Diceros bicornis minor: one gene and its partner. The protein of the gene in region 2 interacts with the protein of the main gene of each other region in a pairwise test. Links are inferred from orthologs where the notes say so. Each region holds a gene or a part of one and is shown on either strand. Other genes may lie near its edges.

The links. The genes of interacting proteins can lie anywhere in the genome.
Region 1: the proteins of BANP (region 2) and NRIP2 interact in binary tests that used the Homo sapiens proteins (3 or more experiments, as listed by UniProt). The two-hybrid records come from large-scale screens. The link is inferred for Diceros bicornis minor from reciprocal best matches to the Homo sapiens genes BANP and NRIP2.

What each region holds. Positions count from the first base shown.
Region 1 is NC_080756.1:58,536,866-58,544,341, reverse strand, and holds the start of NRIP2 (nuclear receptor-interacting protein 2), read right to left. Parts: upstream 3,007-7,476; 5' UTR 2,992-3,006; coding exon 2,800-2,991; intron 1-2,799. UniProt on the Homo sapiens protein: Down-regulates transcriptional activation by nuclear receptors such as NR1F2.
Region 2 is NC_080771.1:36,394,099-36,402,072, reverse strand, and holds the start of BANP (protein BANP), read right to left. Parts: upstream 3,003-7,974; 5' UTR 2,926-3,002; intron 2,089-2,925; exon of another isoform or gene 1,226-2,088; intron 1-1,225. UniProt on the Homo sapiens protein: Controls V(D)J recombination during T-cell development by repressing T-cell receptor (TCR) beta enhancer function. Binds to scaffold/matrix attachment region beta (S/MARbeta), an ATC-rich DNA sequence located upstream of the TCR beta enhancer.

The DNA.
Region 1 (7,476 bases), on a different chromosome or scaffold from region 2:
GTAGAGCCCAAGCTTTTTTTTTTTTTTTTTTTTGTGAGAAAGATCAGCCCTGAGCTAACATCCATGCCACTCCTCTTTTTTTGCTGAGGAAGACTGGCCCTGAGCTAACATCTATTGCCAATCCTCCTCCTCCTTTTTTCCTTTTTCTCCCCAAAGCCCCAGTAGATAGTTGTATGTCATAGTTGCACATCCTTCTAGTTGCTGCACGTGGGACGCGACCTCAGCATGGCTGGATAAGCGGTGCATCTGTGTGCGCCCAGGATCTGAACCCTGGGCCACCAGTAGCGGAGCGCGCGCACTTAACTGCTAAGCCACGGGGCCGGCCCCAACCCAAGCTTTTTAAAGTGACAGCCCAGATGACCTGGCTACTGCCTGAGTCTTCAGCCTCATCTCCCCATCTCCGAATGTCCGCCCCAGTGGGCCTGCTTAGACTGCTTGTACCGGGCTGTTTTTCACCTCCATGCCTTTGCTGCTGCTTGCTCCTCTTCCTGAAGCTCCTCTTTCTCACTCTTCTCTAGGTCAGGCTGGATGACTAGCTCAATACACTTTGTTCAGGAACTACTCTATTCGGGAGAGAAATTTTTATCTTAAGTGTGGGATTCTATGTGCATTCCATAATTAGAGCAGGGTTTACCTCCTCCAGGAAGCCCTCTCTGACCTCTTAAGTACTCTTCCCTCCACACACAGGCTGGGGCGGCATCCCATCTCTTAGCTCCCTTTGTCATGCTTCTCACAGATGTTGTTTGTGGATTTCACTCCCCCAATAGCCTGGAGAGCCCTTGGGGTCAGGTGTGTACCTCACTCATCTTTATATCTCAAGGCTTAGCTCAGAATATAGTAAGCACTCAATGCTTGCTGAAGAATGACTATTCCTCCAGGCTCTGCACATGCTTCTCCACCTGCCCTCTCTCCTTGGGAGCCTGGGATTGTTTTTCTACCCTTGGCTTAATGCGGCCCTCGGGGCTGCTCCCACCACAAGGCTGCCAGCAGGAGACAGCTCTGGGAAAAGGGCAGTGAGCTCTGGGACTGGCCGGAAACAGGGCTCTGCAGTTCCCAGCTCCCCTCCCACCTTTCCCACGGTGGATGCAGGCTTCAGGCTCCCTACCGCTGTGTGGTTTGCTCCAGAACTATCCCAGGGAAGGAGGCAATGAGGTCCTTCCAGCTGTTGTGTCTTCACTCCTAAAGCCACACAAGGGAACTGCTTGAGATCAATTCGGGAGGTCCTGAGGCAGAAGGGAGAGGTGAAAAGCCCAGGACTTTCTCATCAGAAAGCTGGACCTGCCACTCTGGGATGGCAGTTTTAATAGAGCATCTTCTCCAGGGCCAGATCTATGTAGGATGGTCCCCAAAGGGGAGAAGCTATAAGGCCCTAGCCACTGGGAGCCAAAGAAACTGCTTCCCTGTTCCATCCCTGTTTCTCAGCTGTGCTTGCTGTTTTTGCCAGGAAGAACAAGCCCCTGGAGGCTCTCTGAATTGAAATCTCAGTCTGATCACTTTTCCTCTTTGGGGACTGCTGAGATGGAGTTAGGGGATTGCCTGGCCTCTGGGCTGGGTTCCTGGAGGGGAACATTTGGCTGCGAGGAATGTGGAAAGGTAGGACTAGGTCAGGAAAGGCAGTGAGGGGCCGCGTTTGCCTCCAGATTCCCAGGAAGAAGGGGCTGCAGGAATGGCTTTGTGCCTCTCAGGTTGCAAGGTACCCTCCTCTCAGACCTGGCTAGGAGATGGAGAGAGAACGGAGTGCTCCCTTCTACAGAAGCCCTCCTTTCTTCTCTGAGCCAGAGCCAGACATGATTCCATGTTCTCTGGACCCTACAGATCTTACTTGCTCTCTCAGGCTGACTGGAACAATAGCTGGAGGAATGATAATAGTTAGCTTTTAGGTGGTGCCTTCTGTTATCAGGCGCTGTTCTAACTTCTTTATAGGTATCAGCTCATATAACTCTCACAACAACCCTATGAGGTAGATACTGTTAATTTTATCCTCATTTAACAGATGGAGAAACTACAACACAGAGACGTAAAGTAACTTGCCCAAGTTAGTGACTGGCGGAGCCAGGATCTGAACCCAGGCTGGGTGACTCCAAAGCTCACACTTGAACCACTGTCTCAGAGAGATGCATACATGCAGTTGACCCCTGATCCACTCACCTCCTTGTTGTCATTCCCCCAACCCCATTCCCTCTGGAGGGCAAAGCTGCTGCAAGGGAATGGAGGGAAGGAGCCTGGAAGGGCCATTGCGCCTAGGAGGGAGCAAGGAGGCACCCAAGGAGGGCATATGAATTCCTGATGGCTCTGGCAAGGACAGAGGCCTTGAATGCATTCATTCTGAAGGGAAGAGGCAAATGAATGGTCAGGCCTGGTATGAAGGGGTCTGTGGTTTAGGGAGAGGAGGGAAATCACAACCCTAAACTGACTAGTCCTCCAGGCCCTTGCAGCCATAAATGACTGCTCCAGAAGTTTCTCGTGTCCCTGTAAGTCTCTACTCCTAAACAGTACAGCTCCTCACCACCCCCAAGGTGAGCCTTGGACTGTTTGGGGGAAGCCGAGCGATCAGAATAGGGTCCCTCCGAGCCACCAAGCCATGGGAACATCCCCAGCCAAGAGCCTGAGAATGGTCAAGGCAAAGCCCCTCGAGTTAGTGGGACTCTCTCTCCCCCATTCTCAACAAGGGAGGGGGAGTCTGAAGGTTTAGGGTCTACACTTTAGGGTCCTCCCCCCCTGCTCCTCAGGATGTGGGGAAGCAGAGAGAAAGGGCCAGGGGACTTCCATGGGGGTGGGGAGGGGAGAGGGCTGCCTCACCAAGTCCTTGGAGGTGCCGAGTCTCTTAAGGCTGTCCAGGGGGAGCAGGTCGGCTGAGTCCTTGTGCAGGAACTGGGTGGCCTGTTTGAGCCGGCGCTGCTGGCTCAGGTGGGCTCGGTCCCGAAGCTGTCCCTCCTGTCCCCTCCTACTGGTGTCTCCCTCCTCTCTCCCGGCCTCCTGCTTGGTGCTCATGGCCCCTGTGGGGCTTGATGAGCTTGTTGAGCAGAGTGGGGGCTTCTGCGTGGTCCTGCCCTCCGTCCTCTCTGCCTCCTCTGTCCCCACAGCTTCCCGCCTGTCTCCCTTCCCGGGCTGCAGCTCTCCTGACAGGAGGGTCTCAGCGGGAGGCAAAGAGGAAATAAATAAATAATGTGCAGGAGCAGCCGCGTCAGACACGAATTTCCAGAGATTGCAGTAGAGGGAGTGAGGCTCCAGCTGGAAAAACCCAGCATTAGAAGAGAGGGAGGGTTGGCAGGGCCTGCAGCTGGCAGGCTCTGCAACGTCTCCACTTCTGGGGTCCTGGTTGGAGTGGGTGGTGGAAGGGGTGTGTGTATGTCTGTGTGAGTGCGCGAGGGCGTGTAACTGTGTTGTAAACTGTCAGAGTGTCCGTGCCAGGTTGTGTGAAAGGCGGTGTGTGTCAGCGTGGGGGTGTCAGCCTGTGCACTTGGTGTGCGTGTGGGATGCAGGCTTGTGCACTCATGTGCGTGTGCCCTCCCGGTCTCCCCACGGCTTCACCTGGGGTTCTTTGCAGCCCAGACGGTGGGGAGCAGCCAGTACCTAGGTTCTGAACGGAGATGCGCAGCGTCCGAACGTCCTTCCCTCCCCTCCTCACCCACAGGAGAGGCTTCACCGTGCTGTGTCTCACCCTTAGTGGGCAGACGTCAGAGTCCTTAGCTCATTTACTCTGGGTTCTGGGTCCAGAGGGTGGCAAGGACAGCTCCGAATCTCCTCACAAGTAGGGCCCCAGCTTCTCCCTCTCCTTTGTGTAAGACTCCTTAGTCCTGGCTCTTTAAAAAAAAGTCATAATTCAAACATGCAGGAAATTATAAAAAATAACCAGTACCCTTTACTTGCCACCTTGTTTAAAAAAATAAACTGTTACAAATATAGTTGAAACTCCCTGTGTACCTCTCCTTCTCCCTGGATAACATCGCCTCCTGAATTTGGTGTTTGTCATCCCCATCCTTCCCCTTATACTCATTATGCATATATATGTGTATGTATGTTATGCATATATGTGTATATGTATCCTAAGCAATATATCATTTAGTTTGACCTGTTGTATACGGATCGTTCTCTACTTACGAGGGGATTACGTCCCAATAAACTCATCATAAGTTGAAAATATCTCAAGTCAAAAATACATTTAATACACTAACCTACTGAACATCATAGCTTACTACCTTAAATGTGCTCAGAACATTTACATTAGCCTAACAGTTGGGCAAAATCATCTAACACAAAGCCCATTTTCTAAATAGAGTGTTGAATATCTTATGAAATTTATTGACTACTGTACTGAAAGTGACAAACAGAGTGGCTCTGTGGGTGCAGGATGGTTGTAGGTGTATCGGTTGTTCACCCTCGTGATCGTGTGGGTAACTGGGCGCTGTGGCTGTTGCCGCTGGCCGGCGTCACAGGAGACTACGTACTGCACATCACTAGCCCAGGAAAAGATCAAAATTCAAAATTCGAAGTACAGTTTCTACTGAATGCGTATCGCTATCACAACATCATAAAGTTGAAAAACGTTAAGTCGAACCATCCTAAATCAGGAACTGTCTGTGTATTCTTCTGCAACTTTCTCTTTTTTGCTCCATATTTTATTAGTGAGATTCATCCATGAGATATGTATAGCTCTAGTTAATTCACTTTAACTGCTGTATAGTATTCCACTATATGAATACATCACATTTAGGAAATTTAGGTTATTTTTCATTTTTTGTTCTTACAAACAATGCTGCTATGAACATTTTTGCATGTATCTCCTGGGGTACATGTATAAGCATTTCTCTGGAGTATATACCTAGGAATGGAATTTCTGGGGCATCAGATACAAGTCTTTGCTATTTTGGCATAATGCCAGATTGCTATCCTAGGTATTTGTACCAATGTGCACTCCAGTCAGCAGTGTGTGGGGGTCCTCAGGCCCCACTTCCTCGCCAACAGTCGGTATCAGACTTTTTATAGCCCTGGCTCATCTGTTATCAGATTTCTCTCTCTAGCTAGGCCCTGGGCGTACAGTGGTGAACCAGATGAAGACCCTGCTCTCCTGGAATTCACGTTTTAACGAGGAAGGCAGACAATGAACAACTAAATTTATAATGTCAGGTAGTGGTAAGTGCTGAAGAAAAATAAAACAGGGTGTGAAGAGAGAGAGTGATGGGGTGGTGGATGGGGCTGGCTTTTTTAGAGCAGATGACATTGTGCAGAGGTGAGAACAAGGTGAGGGGGAGGGCTGTGCAGATACCTGGAGGAGGGGTGCTGCAAACAGAGAACGCGGAATAGTGCAGGTAAGATGGGCTGGGCTGGGTCAGGGCTTATGTCACCAACCATACCTCAGACAAGGGGTAGGTTTGCACCTCTCCATCCCCTCTGTCTGGCCTGGCTCCTCCTGCGAACAGCCATTCACACCAGCAAGATGATGGACTGGCCAGGGTAAAGAGCATCATCTCCTGCTGGGGAGAGAATAGGGCTACCTCGTCCACCCCAGGATGGAACCCTTTTCCTTGCTCTTCTGGGCAGTGCTCTTCCCACCTGGGTTAACAAGCCACCAAACACTGAATCTGACAGACCTGAGGGAGCCCGGGGTCCCCCTACTGAAAGAGAACAGAGAACACTGCGGAGTGGGTTCTAAGAATTGCCGGAGGGTGATGAGTCTTCGTATTTCTAGCAATGAGAAGGGCTCCAAAAGGTAGGGTTTTCTTGGCCTTCACCCTCATAGGCCCTCAGGTCTTCTAGAGAACTTTCTGCCTTTAGATAAAGCCAGACTACACCTTGTATTTGCCATTGGGTGTCAGACAGTCATTAGTAATTCTAGATATGCTGCCCAGTGCAGTAGCCACTAGCCACATGTGGTTATTGAGCACTTGAGATGGGGCTAGTCTGAACTGAGATATGCTGTAAGCGTAAAATACACACTGGTTTTGAAAACAGTATGAAAAACAATATGAAATATCTCACTGAGTATTTTTACATTGATTACATTATTTTATATTGTTAATATTTTGGATATATTGGGCTAAATAAAATACATTATAAAAATTAACTTCACCTCTTTATTTTTTTAATGTGGCAACTAAAAAATTAAAGTTACATGTGTGGCTCCGTTACATTTCTGTTGGTCTGAATAGATTCACAGCTCGTTTTCTTGAACCTGACGTAATCTGTTCCAGCCTCTCTCTGCTGTATCAGGAAGTTCTTTACATCTAATCTAAATCCCTGTCCTCTTGTCCAGGCTTCAGTAGAGATGGAGACGAACTGGTTCCCACCTTCCTTGTGATAACTTTTCATGCTTTTAAATATCTTCACACTTTTTAACTTGCATTCCTCAAGGCTGCATAGTGTCAGTTCTTATCTCCGATGGTGGGGATGAGGAGGAGGGCTCATGTGGCGCAGCAGAATCCTCCAGGCCAATGCCCTGCCACATAAGGCAATTCCCAGAATAGTCTTCGTAGAATGGGTTATTCAGAGCTAGACAAACAGCTTCCTTGAGCCCGTGGAGGCTTAAGGGCAGCCAGTTCTATTTCAGGCTTTCTCCTCTGGCCCTGTCAGACCTTCTGAAGACAGGAATGAAGCTGTTTTCCAGAATTCTGTCCAGCAAGGGTCCCAGGAGGGCTGGCCAGTGTTGAAATTTATCACCCTACCTCCACCCCAAAAAGGTAGATCTTCCAAAGATGACCAGGCTAGGATTTTTTATATTTGACACTAGGTTGATTTCCTCCTATTTTATGGATGGCAAAACCAAGGCACAGAAAGGTCAAGCATCTGTCTCTATTGATAAAAGCAGACTGAACAAGGGATATTGAACTCAGACAAGCTTGGCCAAGTATTCCAACTCAGTCATTTACTAACTGGGTGGCTTTGGGTAAAGTGCTTAATCTTTTTTTTTTTTTTTGCTGGGAAAGATTTGCTCTGAGCTAACATCAGTTGCTGATCTTCCTCTCTCTCGTTTTTCTTTCCCTCTCCAAAGCCCTAGTACATAGTTGTATATTCTAGTTGTAGGTCCTTCTACTTCTATGTGAGCCACTGCCACAGCATGGCTACTGGCGGATAGAAGTGTGGTTCTGCACCCACGAACCAAACTCGGGCTGCCAAAGCGGAGCACACCAAACTTTAACCACTAGGCCATCAGGGCTGGCTCTGAAATGCTTAATCTTTTGGAACGTACTTCCTCATCTGTAAAATTGAAATGACATGTAATTTGTAGAATTGCTATGAAGTTTAAATGAGAGGCAGAATAGCAAAATGGTTAAGAGCTCTCTATGCCTCAGTTTACTCATCTCCAAAATGGAGATCATAATGGGACCCACCTCATAGTATTGTGAGGATTAAATGGGCTGATTCATGGAAAGCTCTCAAAACATTGCCTAACATATAGTAAGTGCTGAGTAGATGTTTACTGTTGTCTGGGGCTGTACATGCACATACATCTCTGTGTGCTCACACACACACACAACA
Region 2 (7,974 bases):
GGCATTTGAGGACCCAGCACAGTAGTAAGTTCCCAATCACCCAAAGGGAAACCCACGTATTTTCAAGACGAGCCCCACAGACTCGGAGCTTTCTGCCCACTTCCTCTTGCCTTAGACAATAATTACCAATATTTGAGGAGCACTTGCTATATGAAACAAGAAGCCACCAAGTTAAAAAAGAAAACAACAGTGACACTAGAGGAAACAAGAAATCAGAGAACAAAAAGAGAACTAAAACCCTTATTTGTATCCTCAGAGTCAAGGAGACAACGAATGTATTCATAAAACAATAAGTTTCTATGAAAAAAAACAGAAAAAATAAGCTCTTGGACATTAAAATTTCGATTGTGGAAATAAAAACTTAAAATAAGATTGGAAGATAAACTGAAGCCCTTTCCCAGAAATGAGAATAAAATGACACAGGAAGAAGACAAAGAGATTCAGGGGGTCAATCCAAGATGACCATCATCAAACAGGAACCCAAATTGAGAAGAGTAAAAGCAAAGTGGAAGAAATTCTCAAATAAATGATACAAGAGAATTTCCCAGAGTCAAAGAGCATTCGGAATGGGATTCCACATTTTTTGACACTCTGGGAATGTCCTAAAACCAAAGAGGATCCTTAAGAGTTACCCAAAAGGAATACATCTACTTGGCAGAAGGTTCTCATTGAAATGATGAAGGAAGCCAAGATTAAAACATGGAGTCCTGAACAAACCCAGATGTATAAGAAAAGAAAATATCAGGATAATACCTGTGCTGGCCTAAAAATCAATCCAGACTGGAAAAAGAGAACAGAGGGCTGGGGAGGAGGGGGAAAGTTGGAGAGATGTGACACTATCCTTGAGAATTTAAAACAATATAAGCAGTCAATGGGAGCAGAAAACGCAAAGAAAAAGAAAGGCCATTACAAACGACAGCAAACACATCAAGCTGTGTGAGGGAAATGCATTACTTGGCTGTGAAGCAAACAATATCTGCAGTTACAAACCATCTGAGTTAACTGAACATAGTGAATTCAGGGTATAGAGGAGTGAGATCCGACAGGAGAGCTAAAGCATCCTTTCGTAACAAAAAGTCAACAATGTGTAAAATCAACAAAACACCAGCTTATTGTTGAGAGCTTTGGAGACCTTCCTGAAGAAACAACAAAAACACAAGTCTTTGGGGAGTGGGACTGAAAGGCGGCACAGGGGACTGCTGCTTTCGCCGTATGGACACCTCACCTGGACGCTACGTGACAACACGAAGCGCACGTCTGCACTGTTAAGCGCACAGCCTCCAGACAGCTCACCGCGGCTCCGTGGCCTCGGCGGCCCCTAGCCTCCCGGCCTCAGCGCCTCCTCTGTCAGACGGAGCGGTCTCGGCCTCCCCGCGTCGTCGTGTCGGGAGTCACCGGAAAGGGTCAGCAGTCCCGGCCACAGCACACGACCCAGAAATGGCAGCTGACTTTTCAAAATTAAAGCCCACGATGACACAGTCCAACATCCCAAGAACATATTCTTGTTCTCATTGCAAGACAGAGGGGAAAGGAGCTGAACATACAGAACGAACTGTGCGGGCAATTCTGGCGTTTCCCCACCGGACGTTTGTCCAGGGCTGGCCCACAAGCCGAACGTCAACGACATCACCTGCGCTCTGAGGGGCGCCTCCCTCCCGCACGTCCTGAGGACCACGCAACTGCCCCGTCAGCCTCCGTCTCCCAAACCTCCGTGCCCCTGCCCCCTCAGAAGGACGGTCCGCTCTCGTCACCAGTCACCTCGGGGCTGCGCAGCAGCGCCGTCGGGCGGACGGGCGACTCCCCGCGGAGATCACCTGTCCCCGTCGTCGGACTGTGAGCGGGCCTCGGGGCGGGCTCCCTACGCTGGAGGCCCGGGTCCGCGTTCTCAGGGGAGGTGACTCCTCCGCCCCGCCCCCGGCCCCCAGGGAGACCCGGCCCCCCGAGGCGGCGTCCTCAGTGCGCACAGCGGGGCACGGGCTGTGAGGACAGCACCTCCGTGCAAAAAGCTAAGGCCACAACTCGAAAAGATGCAATCACAGACACGGCAAAAAATACTGGGGGGGGGCGGGGAGGGGGGCGACAGCCGCCTCCACCGAGGCCCCCAGCCGCCCCCTCCCGGCCTGCCCCCGTTCCCTCTCCCTCGTGAACCCCGCCATCAGAGGCTCCGCGTCTGCGTCCCGACGCCCGGGCTCCGTTTCACGGGCCCCGCGGGCGCTCGATCGGAAGTCCGCCTGACGGGGCGCGACACCGCGGGGCGTTCTGTGCCTTCTCGGTTTTTCCACTTTCCCAAACAGGTGACAACCCGGCCGGCACGTCCGGCAGCCGCGAGCGTCCGTCCGGGCGCGGGGGCCGGCGGGGCCGCTCCCACGGGGGGGACGCAGGGCCGGGCCGCCCCCGCCCGTCCACGGCCCGCACGGCAGTGGGGGGAGATGCACAGAAGCGGATACCACCCTCCTCGGGGAACGCGAGTGCGCAGGGCCCGGGACCGAGGCGGTCAAGCCCCCGGCCGGGCGGACGGGGCCGGCGGGACGGCGGGGAACTGACGGGACCAGGGCTCTGAGGGCGGACGGCAGGACCCGGGCAGGAGGGCCCGGAGGGCTAACAGGTCCGAGGGCGCTGAGGGGGCGGCGGGGACGGGGTCAGGTCCGGAGGAGCTGAGGAGGCGGCGGGGCTGAGGGGGCGAGGCCGGGGCCCGAGGGCGCGGAGACGGCTGAGGGGGCCGAGCGGGCGGCGGGCCGGGGGCCTGAGGAGGCTGAAGGGGCGGCGGGCCGTCCGCGGCCCGGACAGGGTGTCCCGGGCGGGGGCGGCGGGCGCGGCGGCCGGAGGAGGGCGCAGGGTGGAGGGAGGAGGGGAGATCTCGCTCTCGCTCTCGCCCCGCGGGAAGGGGGAGGTGGAGACGCGACCGACTGCGGGAGCTGCAATTACCGTGTGGGCTGCGGAATTCTCGTGGTGTTTGTCGGGGAGATGCGATAATGGCGTCCGTCCTCGCGAGAGAAGCCGCGGGTCTGCGCAGGCGCCAGGAGTCCCTCCCCGCGGCCCTCCGCCCTGCACCGTCTGCGCAGGCTCCCTGGGCGGGGCGCTCCGAGAGCGGGGGCGGGGAAGGGGGCGGGGCTTGCCGCTCGTGGCCTCCCGAGGTCGCTGTCGCCTGCGCCGACGACCGCAGAGCATGCGCACGCGTCCTTCTTCCGTGCCACAGTTTGGGCCCTGCAGAGTTCTTTCTTCCCCATCGTGCGCTCGGTCTCCTCGCTAGGCCGTGAGAAGTCGCGTCGGTGGACCGTTGGAAGAATTTGCATTTTCTTTGAGGCTGAATGAATAGGAATTAGCTCCCCCCCCATGACTACATATCCCGGGGGGCCCTGCGCGAACCGCGAGCAGTGCATCCTGGGGCTTGTAGTCCGTGCCTCTGCGCCATGCTTTGCCGGTACTTGTAGTCTGTCCGCACTCCGGTCGCGTGTCCCGCGCGCGCCCCTTGGGCCACTGGGACTTGTAGTTCAGATGCTCGAGGCAGCTGCGCCCGGCCCGTGCTCCGGTTCCGGCGGGGTTCCCCCAAATACTGGTGGTGTTCAAGGGTCCCCAGCGTCTGTCCAGACAGTCGCGAGTGCACGCGCGTGGAAACAATATATATAAATTATATGCCTATGCATTTTTATGTAATTAATATATTATGTATAATATGTATATATGTAATGTATAAGCTATATTACATATGAATATAAATATAGTATGAATGTGGTTATATTATATTTATATAGCGTAAATGCGCCTTTGTGGGTACTGGTAGGGAAAAATCCCTATTCCCCTACCTGGAAATAGACAATTCCCAGAAACTTTCCTGCTTCTCTATCTCTGTGTGCTGGCGTTACCATTGCTTTTCATTTTTCTTCTTTATACGTACTCACCTCTATTTTCCGAGTTATTTACAATGATCATCCAAACACAAAACGAGGGAGCTGTTTTCATTTGAAAAATAAAACGCTTTTCCCAGAGTCTCCTGCCCCCTTCCCTTTCCCACTAATGAAAACGTGATTCAGGGCAGTAACCAGCTGTGCGGCCTGGGGCAACCTTGTTGAGTTAGCATGTCCTCCAGGATTTAACACCAGGGGTTCTGCTGAGGCCGGGCGCTGGATTCCTTTGCAGGAAAAGTGCCTTAAAGAAATTCCAAAGAACCACAGAAAGTCAGTGCTGGAAAAGATGCTGATATTGAAATGACATCTGTCCTGTTTAGAGTTGAGGAACAGTCTCAGAGAGATTGCAAAAATTGTTCAGCAAGGACACACAGAAGTGGGGTTTGGAATCAGAAACACCTTGGTCTAGAGTCTGCTCACAGTGGGGAAGAGAATTGAAAAGCTAACCACAAAAATCCTGAGAGAGGACCAGGGGAGAAAAGTTCTGGAGAGCCGTGCTTTCTAGCCCCACCTCTGCCTCAATCACAGAGGAATCTAAACTCATAACTATGTAAGAATTGTTAACATAAATACGTGAATATCCAACTAGAAAGCCGATAAATGTAGGGTGATATTTTTCACATTATTTCAAAATATCACAAAGTCCTCGTCTGAGCTCTCTTTCAGGTATGGGTTTGCCTGCTCCTTCCTGCCCAGCAGGGAAATTGGCTCCAACGCACAGCTCCTGGGATATTGGGAGGATTCATTGAAGCAGAGTTTGTAAAGGGTTTAGCAGAGGGTCTGACTCAGGAAATGATCACGTTACCATGTGTTGAGTTACCACACCTCAAGCCAGGCACATCTTATTATGATCCCTATTCTTTGTGAACAACATGAAGTTCAGAGAAGTTAAGCTACACACCCAGGGTCACACAGCTATGGCTGTGTTAGAGCTTTGAGGAGGAAGGTTGTGAGATGTCACAGGAAAGGTAGTTAGGATGTGGGCTATGCAGGTCCTTATTGGCCAAGGGACAAATTTTGTCTTGATCCTCAAGTAATGGAAAGGCTTTACAAGGTTTGGGGCAAGGGTGTATATGATCAGATTTGCATATTCAAAAGTCACTCAGGCTGGAGTGCTGGAAAATGAATTGAGGGTGGGAGGAGGGGTACTGATTTGGAGGGAGCATTTGAGGAGGCTATGGCAGGGGTCCAGGCAAGAGATGATGGAGGCCTGGACTAGGGTGGTCACAATGGAGACTGAGATGCAGAGAAGTGGACAGAATCAAGAGATTCCAAGGGGTGAAATCAATAGGACCTGCCCCTGAATCTGATACTGAGGAGTAAGGGAGTAAGGGAGAGGGGGCATCAGGGATGCAGCCTGGGTCTGCAGACATGTAAAACTGGAGAGACCGAAGCACCATTCCCTGAGATGGGGAACTCTGGGCACCACTGGCCACTGGCCACCACCCATGGCTGTGGAGACTGCCCTGAACAATGCCCTGTTGTAGCTGGTCCACCATGGGGGCCTCTTCTGTAATTCCTCCCCCACCCCAGGACACCTCTTTCTGCTTCACACAGAGGCACTTATGGGATAAGGTTTGGGGGTGAACTGGAGTCTTGGGGATAGAGCTCATAGGATAATTCAGGGGAAATGGGAAGAAGCAGCACCCAGCACCCACCAGAGCCCCATCTGCCCCTGCCATGGATTCCACCCAGACCTGAGACAGGCCATGGCCACATGTTCTGGACAGTCAAGAGATTTAAGGACCAGGAAGTGATGTCAGCAACATGGCGGAATAGGAGGTCCCCCATCATATCCCACCTCAGCAACAATAATTTGGTAGCCATCCACAGACAGAAGACCCTTTGAGAGACCTTTGGGATCCAGGTAGAGACTGTGAAACATTGGTGGAGCCCAAGACCAAGCAGGGTCATTGTGAGTCAGCCTGCACCCAGGTGTCTGACTTGCTGACCTTGGTCTCAGTCACAGACCCAGAATCAGGCCCATCCTCCCATGGACTTGACTGCAGCTCCATTTGGCCTTTGTCCTGCCACCAGCACCACCTGCCAAGGGACCTGGCAGGAATCAGGCCTGCCTATGCCTTTGGTAACAGGCCTGCTGAATTTGGTTCTGGCTGTGGGCCCTGAAGCGGCCCTGGGACCGGCTCTAGCCTCTCTTAGCCATGGTCCAGGAGCAGTCCTGCCCACTCAGGGACCCAGAGGAGACACACCTGTCTGTAATATGCTACCCCACATTAACAAAATGAAGGATAGAAATCATATGGTCATCTTAATAGATGAAGGAAAAGCATTTGACAAAACTCAACATCCTACATGATAAAAACCCTCAACAAACAGGGTATAGGAGAAACAAACCTCAATGTAATAAAGGCCATATATGACAAGCCCAGAGCTAACAACACACTCAACAGTGAAAGGTTGAAAGCTTTTCCTCCAAGCTCAGGAACAAGACAAAATGCCCACTCTCACCACTTCTATTCAACATAGGACTGGAAGCCCTAGCCAGAGCACTGAGGCAAGAAAAAGAAAAGGCACCTAAATCAGAAAGGAAGAAGTTAAATTGTCTCTATTTGCAGATGACATGATCTTGTACATAGAAAACCCTAAAGACTCCACCAAAAAACCGTTAGAACTAATAAATGAATTCAGTAAAGTTGCAGGATGCAAAATCAGCACACAGAAATCAGTTGTGTTTCTATGCACTAACAACAAACTGTCTGACAAAGAAATGAAGATGACAACCCCATTCACAACAGCATCAAAAGAATAAAATACTTAAGAATAAACTTTACGAAGGAGGTAAAAGACCTGTACACTGAAAATTGTAAGACACTGATGAAAGAAACTGAAGACACAAATAAATGGAAAGAGGTTCCGTGCTCATGGATTGGAAGAATTAATATTGTTAAAATGTCCATACTACTCAAAGCCATCTACAGACTCAATGCAATCCTTATCAAAATTCCAATGTCGTTTTCCACAGAAATAGAAAAACCAATCCTAAAATTTGTGTGAAACCACAAAAGACCCCAAATAGCCAAAGCAATCCTGAGAAAGAACAAAGCTGGAGGCATCATGATCCCTGACTTCAAGCTATATTACAAAGCTATAGTAATCAAAACAGTATGGTGTTGGCATAAAAATAGACATATAGATCAATGGAGCAGAATACAGAGCCCAGAAATAAACCCACACATATTTGGTCATCTAATCTTTGACAAGGGCACCAAGAATATACAATGAGGAAAGGACAGTCTCTTCAGTAAATGGTGGTGTTGTTGAATGAATATTCACATGCAAAAGAAGGAAATTTGACCCCTATCTTACACCATACATAAAATTAACTCAAAATGGATGAAATACTTAAATATAAGACCTGAAACCATAAAACTCCTAGAAAAAAACAGAGGGAAAAAGCTCCTTGATATTGGTCTTGGCAATGATTTTTTGGATATGACACCAAAATCACAGGCAACAAAATAAAAAAAAAAAAAGAAAAGTGGGACTACATCATGCTAAAAAGTTTGGTGCAGCAAAATGAAAAGGCAACCTAAAGAATGGGAGAAAATATTTGCAAACCATCTATCTGATAATCAGTTAATATCCAAAATATATAAAGAACTCATACAACTCAATAGCTAAAAAACAACCTGATTTTAAAGTGGGCAGAGGACCTGAATAGACATTTTTCCAAAGAAGACATACAGGTACATGAAAAGATGCTCAACATCACCAATCATCAGGGAACTGCAAATCAAAACCACAATAAGATATCACCTCCCACCTGTTAGAATGGCTATTATCAGAAAGACAAGAGATAACAAGTGTTGGTGAGGATGTGGAGAAAAGGGAACCCTTGTGCACTGTTGGTGGGAGTGCCATTATGGAAAACAGTAGGGAGGTTCCTCAAAAAGTTCAAAATAGAATTACCATATGATCCAGCAATCTCGCTTCCAGGTATTTATCCAAAGGAAAGAAATCAGTATCTCGAAGAGATGTCTACAACCCCATGTTCATTGCAGTATTATTCACAGTAGCTAAGATATGGAAACAACCTAACTGTCTGTCA